2 linked regions of the Daphnia pulex genome follow. The protein of the gene in region 2 purifies or fractionates together with the protein of the main gene of each other region. This does not show direct contact. Links are inferred from orthologs where the notes say so. Each region holds a gene or a part of one and is shown on either strand. Other genes may lie near its edges.

Region 1 (4,611 bases), on a different chromosome or scaffold from region 2:
TAGCCGACCACCTTTCTGCAGGTGCAATAGATAATGGCCATTATTTCTTGAAGATTGGTGAGGTAGATTGCACTGAACATTTCAGAACAGCTTGCCAAGATTTCACAGAAAAATGAAAATTCCACTTCCCCTTATCCATAATACAGGAAAAAAAAGAAATACTAAATACCATCGAGAGATTTCGTCTATATACACACGCTTGAAGCTTTTAAATAGAATCCATATTGTTAACATAACAATGGTAAAAACAGAAGCTTTGTCGTTGCTTCGGAATACGTCGTCAATCCATCGCTTTCCTTTTTACTCCATGCTCCGGGAAAGGTTGAGTTGAATCTCCTCCATCAATTCCAGACGAATCGCTGGAATCAGAGGATGAGTCAGAATCGGACTCTACCTCTTCGTCTGGGTCATAGAAGAGTTCAGCACCAGGAAACAGGTATCGACCAGGTTGGACGGTGAGATAAGTGTTTTCTGAATTTTATGCAAGGAAATGCATATAGATGACATAGACAACAACCGAACAAAAATAAATTACCTGGGAGTTGATCGGCAAGATTCACTTTGATTCGCGGCTCCCACCATCCGGTCATGTCATGAGTAACTGGTTCAACATCACCAGACTCGGCTGATTCCATTTCTAAGCTTCCTGTAGACATCCCACTGTCCCGGCGTAAAGGATCGTCTTGATCTCTTTTGGGGAAAATGGGTGCAGGTACGGCGACAGAAGGAGTGGGGCGTGGTGGTAGGCGACTGATCTCTGTTAGAGGTTCGCGGTAACAAATGTCATCTTTCCATTGTGTACCCAGTCTGATTGTTACAAGAAGATTGATGAGACAACAAATTTGGCTGATGAAAATTACTGTATACTAACAAATGACACAGTTGGTTGACGATAATATCGCAGTCCCCAAGCAGTTCAACATCAAAGACCATGTGGCGGAGAGGTTCGCGATTGATAAGAATTTGCGGAACATGATTCGGTAGGGCGCCTATTTGAATCAAGAGAAACTTATTGCATATGAACTTTAAGGTTACAAGATGACATTTAAAATAACTTACATGGGATGAGTGCGACAGGGCGGACTTTGAGCGATGACCCAATCACGATTATCAGGTCACATTCTTCTTTATCGAGTACCATAGCGCGGTGAAATTCGTCTGGCATTCCTTCTCCAAAGAAAACAATGTCAGGCTTCATGATCGGCTGGGCCGATAATGCCACCGACGACGATGTACTGGCCTCGTCTTCATTTTTCGACACATCCGAGCATTTCGGACAAAGTGGAATGCGTTGTTCCATTATGTCTTTTTCTATCTCGTTCGAGGGGACGCGATGTTGGCAGCGCAGGCAAGTGGCAGTAGCAAACGAGCCATGACATTGGATAACCCTTTCGATATCTGCTTGTTGTTCTAGTGTATCTATGTTTTGCGTGTAGTTGCGCAAAAGCTTGTTTTGTTTCTCTAGCAAACGAATGAACCTAAACAAAATATCGTTTCATTAGCGAAATTTCAAAATTGTCAAGAGAATTTGTTTACTTGTGGCATTTAGAAGGTGTAAACTGTCCTGGCCAAAGGTCTCGGGCGAATTTAAAGAACGGTCGGGGATCTTTTCGGAAGTAATGGATATCAAACATAGCTTGAGGATCGGGCAAGTCAGGGAAGTCGACGGCTAAGCGAGCGTAAATTCCATCACGGCTACGAAAGTCGGGAATACCACAGGAAACAGAAACCTAAACAAAATTTGTTCAAATATAATGAGGTAAATTATTTTATAAAAAAAAAAAAAAAAATTACCCCTGCTCCTGTAAGAACTAGAATCTTTTTACAGCTACGGAGTAATCTGACGGCATCGGATATTGCATTTATGTGGCGTAAACGTTCCCGCCTTGGAGGTTCACTGACAATATTCACGATTATCTGTTTTATTCAATAATTATGATTAGTTGCCTTGACAATGCTACAAATTTATAATTTTACCTTCCAAAGGGTGACATCGTCAAGATGGGTGGGGATTTGAGCATCATTTGGTACCAACTCATTCAGGATGGTTCGAGGATTGGTACCAAGAAGCATCTGTTGTTGCACCCAAGACATCGTCCCTGATGATGGCTCCCAGTCATGATTGCTCAAGTCACTCAACCCACTTATGTCTGAAACATCACTATCTGAGGAGGTATCATCATCTTTCTCCAAATTGCCCATTGAATCATCAGCATCTTGAATGGCTGGCAAAGCATAGCTACAAATAAATAAATAATAAAGTTAGACCATATGTTTGTACACAATAAAAAGAAGACATTAGTCCACATTACCTGGTAGATGGTAAATCATTAGTGAGATTTTCATCCTCGCTGCTGGCTAAAGACGTTAACTCGCTGAAGCCTGAATCCCCAGCGTTGAACATTTCACAGCTTCCTAGTTGTCCTGCATCATTTGCTGAAATTTAAAAAAAAAAAAAAAATATTTCAAGTAAGCTCACAATGGATCAACTCTACAGCCATCAAGAAATTTCAACTCAAGAAACCAAAACAGTATTTGACAAGTGTCATCACACTGTTATGACATTCAAACATGCCGCCCCAAAATTTTGGCAACGCAGCAATCGACCAAAAAGAAGGGCGTCTCCCCTCCCCCCCCCCCATCCGCCAATGGCCGCACTAACGAAGCAAAAGGCCATTTACCTCAAAACCGAATGCAATCTTTTGCTAACAATTTTGATTAGGTTCACAAGTACATTAAATGAATGAAATCGATCAAACGGGTACTTACAAAGCTGTTGGCCCTCAATAAAGGACTGTGAGATGTCAATCGGCAGCAAAGTTCTGCTTCGTTTTACGGGACTGTGAAAGTTCTCGCCTTGTTCGTCGGCCATTGCTTCGTCTTCCGTCGATCGTGGGGTAGAGGGCGCTTCTTCTTCTTCACAAATTTCGGGCCGCCAGGTGGCAGGTCAGCGTTGCCAGTATGAATCGAATTCGTCCCGAAACCGGAAGAAAATATGCGCAAGGACATGTATACATGAAATAGGAAGGGAATTAATTCAAGGCCTTTCCTTGTCGAGCTTTTATATCAACCTTAGTCCACTTTCCGCACGTTGCGGTTCAGATAAGGCATTGTGATTTTCGCATAAGGAGGAAAGCTGCTGATTATAATTTTTTTTTTAATAGGAGGTTTATCAGAAATGCAGTATCACCAAATTAAACTGAGAAAAAAATTAGTTCAAGATGTACTAAACATCACGAATGAGGTTACGCGATATCGGGAAAATAATTCACGTATGGCATTTGTACTAGAGAAGCGACCCCGAGGTTTGACTGACTTATAATATTCGTGGACCATAAAACCAAATCGCATAGGGGTGAGCCGGCCCGCGGTGCGTTATACCCCCAAAAGTTGTAAAACATGGTCTAGCGATTTGACGAACTTAATTAAATCTGATAGGCATAGCACACGGGGCCGCCCGATATGGCCGCTCTTGTTTGAAAGCGTGCGTCACAACAATTGCGCTGAGTGTGTGTGAGGATTATTAGTGCTGCGGGATCCGGTAAGTACTTGACTCCAGTCGAGAACGATCAGGCTTGATAAACAACAGCAGAGCTCAGTTGCTGGATTTACCTTCCGACAAGCAAGGAATTACTACTTTTTTCAATGTAAGTGAATTCATTGTTTTCCCACACGTAATAACCGAACTCAAGTCGTTCGTGCGAATTTCAGACTTTCACAGGAATGGATTTTTCAAACGTCAACTTCCCATTTCCTTTGTGGATTGTCCGTCCCACCTGGGAGTGCGCCTTGAAAATCGGATTCTTCGTTCCTGTCATTATCATCAGTCTGCTTGGAAACGGTTTGGTGGTTTACCTCATGGCCACCAATCGATTTTTGCGCACTTCCATCAACATCTTCATTTGGAATTTGGCCATCGCCGATCTTTTAACTATCCTACTCATCCCGTGGATAATTTTAATCATCGATCTCTACCAGATGTTCATTCTCGGAGAGGTTTCAAAACCAGTCAGTTTTATTATCAAATAATTATAATTTCCATTACATTTTTGGGAAGGTTATTTGTCGAACCGAGGGATTTTTAAGAGGTAATTCAAAGCTTCATTTTAAAAAAAAAACTGGCAAGTAATTCATATATTTCAAATCAAAAGTGATGCTGATGTTGGTGGACGTCTTCAGCTTGCTGGCCGTAAGCTTTGATCGTTTCTTTGCCATCGCATTTCCATTCCGCCCGCGGATGGGCCAATCGGCAGCCTACATTATTTGCGGAGTCATCTGGATCCTTTCAGCGGCCATCGCCTCTCCACTCATCGCAGCCCGCGTCTATAAAGTACGACCAAGAAGCATTTTAAATTGATCAGAATTATTTAGGGTGTTATATCATCTGCCGCCGCCAATTTGACTCAACACACAGGAACGACAATGGAAGGATATATTGGAGTCCTGGTGCATCGACAACACTTCCTTCTCTTTCGTGTACTACATCTCCCTCGACGCTATTCTCGTCTGGTTTCCCCTCATCGTCATGACTGTTCTATTCATTTTCATCTTCATTATTGTATGTAATCAGCTTCTTTTACATCCTCTTGATTGGTTAAAACGGCAGCAGGT
Region 2 (4,501 bases):
GGGAAACCGATATTAATTCGACATGCTTGTAAGTAGGTTTGCTTCCTTTATCAGCACCTCCTCTTGGCGGCTGGAGGCTGATTGTGCTAACATCCCTCCTTAAAGTATTACCTCTTGATCGACGCTTGCATATCTATACAAAAAAATAATAATAAATAAATAAATATACAAAAAGTTAAAAATAAAATATGCGAACTAAGCAAATGGCTTTAAATTTACCTCAATGACGTCGGAGAATAAAAAGAGTGTCAGCTGCCCACCACGACCAACAATACCATCGCCCAATTCAATAACGTCGCATTGGGATACAAAGCTACGATGGGAAGAAACAATATGTGCCTAAATTTCAATTTGAAATAATGTAAAAATGAGTTGAAATTTAACATCTATTTTAATTAAAAGAAAAATTATTTAAATGACAAAATTTAACGAAGCTTACAGGACAGTTTTCGATGTCGTTGAAAATGTCAAAAAGGACAACTTGACCCTCAGTCCTCCGTTTGTCTTCATTGATGTGCGTCATTACTTCTTTGATCGTGGACAGAGCTTTCTCCAGTTCACCGTAATCCGGATTGCTTTTTGGGGTCTGCTTGAGTAAATCGTTCAAAAGCAAACTAATGGATGGTAGTCGTTGAACAGGACGAATAAGAAGCTCTTGTAGGCTCTGCCGTCGACATTTGGGATTACTCTGACCCAGTTTAAGGAATGCGTGGAAACGTGGCTTCGATCGGTCGCTCATGCTCAACACTTCTTTGGTTTGCTCAAAAAAGTTGACAAAAGGAGGGTAGGCCTTAACCAAGTCATGCGACTACAAAAGTAAAATATACAGTTATGTAAACGAATATGCTGGGTATGCGAAAATTCTTTACTTACATGCTTCAAAATTAAAGCTCCGACGCTGATGTCTTCTCTCCAGTTGAGTGCGGTATTTTTAAGTTGCACAAGTAACTCGAAATGGATTTCATGGATAGGCGGTAGATTGCCAAAAATGATTTTGACCTCCGTGGGATCAAGCAAAGAGCCTCCAACTTGGCTAGGATCCTCAAGTGGCTTTTTGAACACCTAGGGATGAAATGTTGAATTTATATATTGTGGTAAATAACGCGCAATAAATAACACCAAACCTCAACAATTGTCTCCAGTATTTCCACATAATTCATTTCCGTATGCAACAATTCCATGAACACCTGATGTCGAGGGGACATTGCTTTGAGATCCTGTGGTGTAGGAACGGAAATGGTGAGATCACCTTGACCCCCCACTTTCTCGGGACTCGTGGCATCTAGAAACGATCCACTTAGGCTGAGTAAGCCAGATTCACTAATCGAGGAACGGCGGCGATGAGTGTCTATGAATAAACAACATTTTCGTTAGTCATTAAAAGGGGGAAAAACTCCAAGCAATAAACATTTGTACCATGACCAGACGATGGAACTTGAAGTAAGCCAGGCGATCCTCCTTGAGCAGCAAGTTGAGACACTGTGTCTCTCAAGCGTTTACGCTTGCGGTTTCGAGATCCTGGAGTTGTGGGTGACAATACCCCATTCCTTGGGCTCGTCAAATGAGTCTGTAAAAATCCCGGGTTTTTAGAAGCGTTGAGTAAACAAAAGAATATCAATTATTACCTCTTTATAAGGATAAAGTTTTTCACTGGCACAAATATCCATTTGAATTGAAACCCAAAACCATTTAACTTCAACCAACATAGCTTTACTGGGTAGCTTCTCTGGAATGTTTCCAACTCCAAGGGGGTCTATTACCTATTAAAAGGATTTCGTAAAATTCCACCATTGTAAATCTTATTGACATGAAACTTACCACATGCGTGCAGTTAGGATCATCCAATGTAGTTACAGATCCTCCGTTGGTAGTCAAAATTTCGTTCATTTGAGTAACCTCCTCGTCATTAATACCTATCCAGCAAACATTGGTGCCCTCAAAAATCTTGAGTGCGTTGTTCGTTTGCTGCAAAACGGAAAATATTTGATGTGGTAAATAAATTTCAATAATGACAATGAAATAATACCATTGTGGAGTCAATGGCACGAACACTTAGATCGTGACGTTTTTCCCACGCTAAGTGGACCCACGAAGCACTCATAACTGGAATATTGAATGTGACTGCATACTGATATTTCTCTCCTCCAACTTTATTGGCAATAAGGTGGGTGATTTTGTTACAGTCAAATTCCTTTCGAATGCTGCCACCCATGTGATGGATACAAGAGACCAGTGTGTTCTAGTGATGGTAAAACATTATTCCAATTGTTAAATGATTGGAAAATTGCATTTCTTTTAAAGCAACTCACCACTTCCTCTCGATTTCTAAAGCCAGTGAAGCAGGATACTACATTCTCCATTGAAATAGAAAACAATGGCCGATCAAGTTCAGGCATAAAATACTTCTTAGAAACTATGTCAAGCAAAGCTGAGTAGCCCAGAATCCTGCATTCCTTCTTGTACAGAACCTCAAACACTTCATCGGAAAACTCATACAGAACAAACACTGTGTCATGCTGAGGGTTAACAAATTCAAGACCATCTTCTGAATGGAATACTGGTACTCCAAAACTCTAGAAAGTACATTTTTACAAATAACAACTTTGACATTTTAAATGTATAAAAACTTACTTCGGCAGCTTCTTGAACCCCTTTCACATCACACACTCTTCCCACTAAACATATCTTGGATGTAATAACTGAAATATTTACAAAAATATTTAATAGAAGTGACAGTTCTACATGATAGTAAAAATTTTTATACCTGGATGAGAATCCTCTTTATTCCTGCGAGATTTCTTGGACGGGGTTTGTAGAGTAAGGTAATTCATAGAAGCAGACACTGAACCAGACATGTCATACGTTGTCTCCATCATTTTGATTTAAAATAAAATCCACGGGTTGTAACGTTTGAAAATCAAACTCCCAAAATTTTTCTCAACCGTATAACAAACAAGACTGGAGCTCACAATCGAATTTCAAAAAACAATAAGTAGGCGAGCCATTTCTTCGAGTTTATTGTGCAACTGTAAACCACACTGGACTGCCTTGCATAAATGAAAAAGCCGAAATTTCAAATTTCATACAGCGTTGCCAGACAGTTTGCCCGTGTTTATACGAAAATTTTCCATTATCCTACCGCGACTCCGCGACCGTTATAAACACCATCACATCAATGCATACGTGTGTGTTGGTATGCACCTGCGGTAGAGGATCCTTTCTTTATCTCGGTGCTCACCAAACCCTAAGATGATGACAAACACTTTCAGTTTGCACACCTGGTGACTCGCCTGTTGAGGCATATACTTTAATTCCATTATTTTACCTGCTATTTTTAATACTTTAATTTTTTATAATTTAATTTTTAATAATTTCAATCGATTTTCAGAGTTTTCTGTTATAAACTTAAAATGAACAGGCTACACGTTAATCAATTTTAATTATTAATTCAAATTTTCTATAAATTAAAATAATATTTGGAGTCCAAATTTCACCTAATCTAAATAATGTCTTTCGTTCCAGGTTCTGAAAATATTGTATTATCAAACACAAAAAATTTTTATTTCGAGTTCTAATGTTCTAATGTCTCAACATTTTGAAAACAATTCAAAATATTTTTAAAATATTATTTTGAGCCCAATGTCAGGTCATAGATAAAGACGACTGGTTGATTGTCTCCTATCCTTTTAGCCCTATCCCTACTGACCCCGAGTTCTTGGAGTGCTTGTAGTGCCTCTAGCGGATAAAGTACTGTACTGTACCGAGGCTACGAAGGGTTTTGCAGACGAAGATTGTTTTCCTTCTGTCTTGGTAAAATTCTTGGCTGGCGTTTAAAAGTCCTAGGTAATTTTGTCATAACATTTTTATTAAGAAGTCACATTGTATTTAATTTTGACGTTTTTCAATGGCAAAAGCAGAGAAATCAATTAATTCATTGCAATTGAATAGAATTAAGCAGAGTGTAGAGATGCAAACGTACACTAGACACTAGAGGGCAGGACAAGTAGTCCAAGATCGGAGAAATCGGAGGAAGGGTACACGATTTATGGCAACAGTTGGCCATGTTAATTCTCTTATGGAGAGAGTCAACCAGTGGTCTTTATCTGTGGTCAGGTATAGGGCTGTTCGACTTGTTTTTTTTACAATTGTTACCATCGCCGCAACGCAGCATTTTAGTCAAGATGATGTCTGCTACAATTGTCCGCCCCACCTTGTCTGACCAATTGACGTAGGTCACATGATGTCAGATTTTGTCTGACAAAGCCAGAGAGCCCGCGAACAAAACGATCAAAACCTTTAACGAGAAAGTTTTAATAGTTTGAGCGATTCGTCTAAATGAGGAAAGATGGGAAATGGCCGTCTGTCGAATGTTTGTGGGGGCGTTCGGGAGTTATAGCCTCCCAAAGAGGCGAAATTTTGAAGAAAAATCAAAACTTTTTACGATGAAAAAAATTAACACCAAAAAAAGAGCGTGAAAAACTTTATCAAATGGTATGCAGTC

The links.
Region 1: the proteins of protein ECT2-like (region 2) and NAD-dependent protein deacetylase sirtuin-1-like purify together in Homo sapiens (affinity purification with mass spectrometry; 3 studies listed by BioGRID). This does not show direct contact. The link is inferred for Daphnia pulex from reciprocal best matches to the Homo sapiens genes ECT2 and SIRT1.

Annotation. Positions count from the first base shown.
Region 1 is NC_060021.1:10,714,481-10,719,091, forward strand, and holds the start of NAD-dependent protein deacetylase sirtuin-1-like, read right to left. Parts: upstream 2,959-4,611; 5' UTR 2,873-2,958; coding exon 2,770-2,872; intron 2,437-2,769; coding exon 2,313-2,436; intron 2,240-2,312; coding exon 1,978-2,239; intron 1,918-1,977; coding exon 1,795-1,917; intron 1,731-1,794; coding exon 1,537-1,730; intron 1,479-1,536; coding exon 1,060-1,478; intron 990-1,059; coding exon 872-989; intron 808-871; coding exon 536-807; intron 472-535; coding exon 281-471; 3' UTR 1-280. Other genes in the region: neuropeptide FF receptor 2-like, read left to right, coding at 3,724-3,996, 4,058-4,088, 4,152-4,330, 4,415-4,558. UniProt on the Homo sapiens protein: NAD-dependent protein deacetylase that links transcriptional regulation directly to intracellular energetics and participates in the coordination of several separated cellular functions such as cell cycle, response to DNA damage, metabolism, apoptosis and autophagy.
Region 2 is NC_060024.1:8,173,122-8,177,622, reverse strand, and holds the start of protein ECT2-like, read right to left. Parts: upstream 3,072-4,501; 5' UTR 2,877-3,071; coding exon 2,765-2,876; intron 2,700-2,764; coding exon 2,632-2,699; intron 2,574-2,631; coding exon 2,310-2,573; intron 2,240-2,309; coding exon 2,027-2,239; intron 1,966-2,026; coding exon 1,819-1,965; intron 1,761-1,818; coding exon 1,626-1,760; intron 1,568-1,625; coding exon 1,417-1,567; intron 1,349-1,416; coding exon 1,125-1,348; intron 1,063-1,124; coding exon 874-1,062; intron 809-873; coding exon 440-808; intron 340-439; coding exon 220-339; intron 134-219; coding exon 1-133. UniProt on the Homo sapiens protein: Guanine nucleotide exchange factor (GEF) that catalyzes the exchange of GDP for GTP. Promotes guanine nucleotide exchange on the Rho family members of small GTPases, like RHOA, RHOC, RAC1 and CDC42.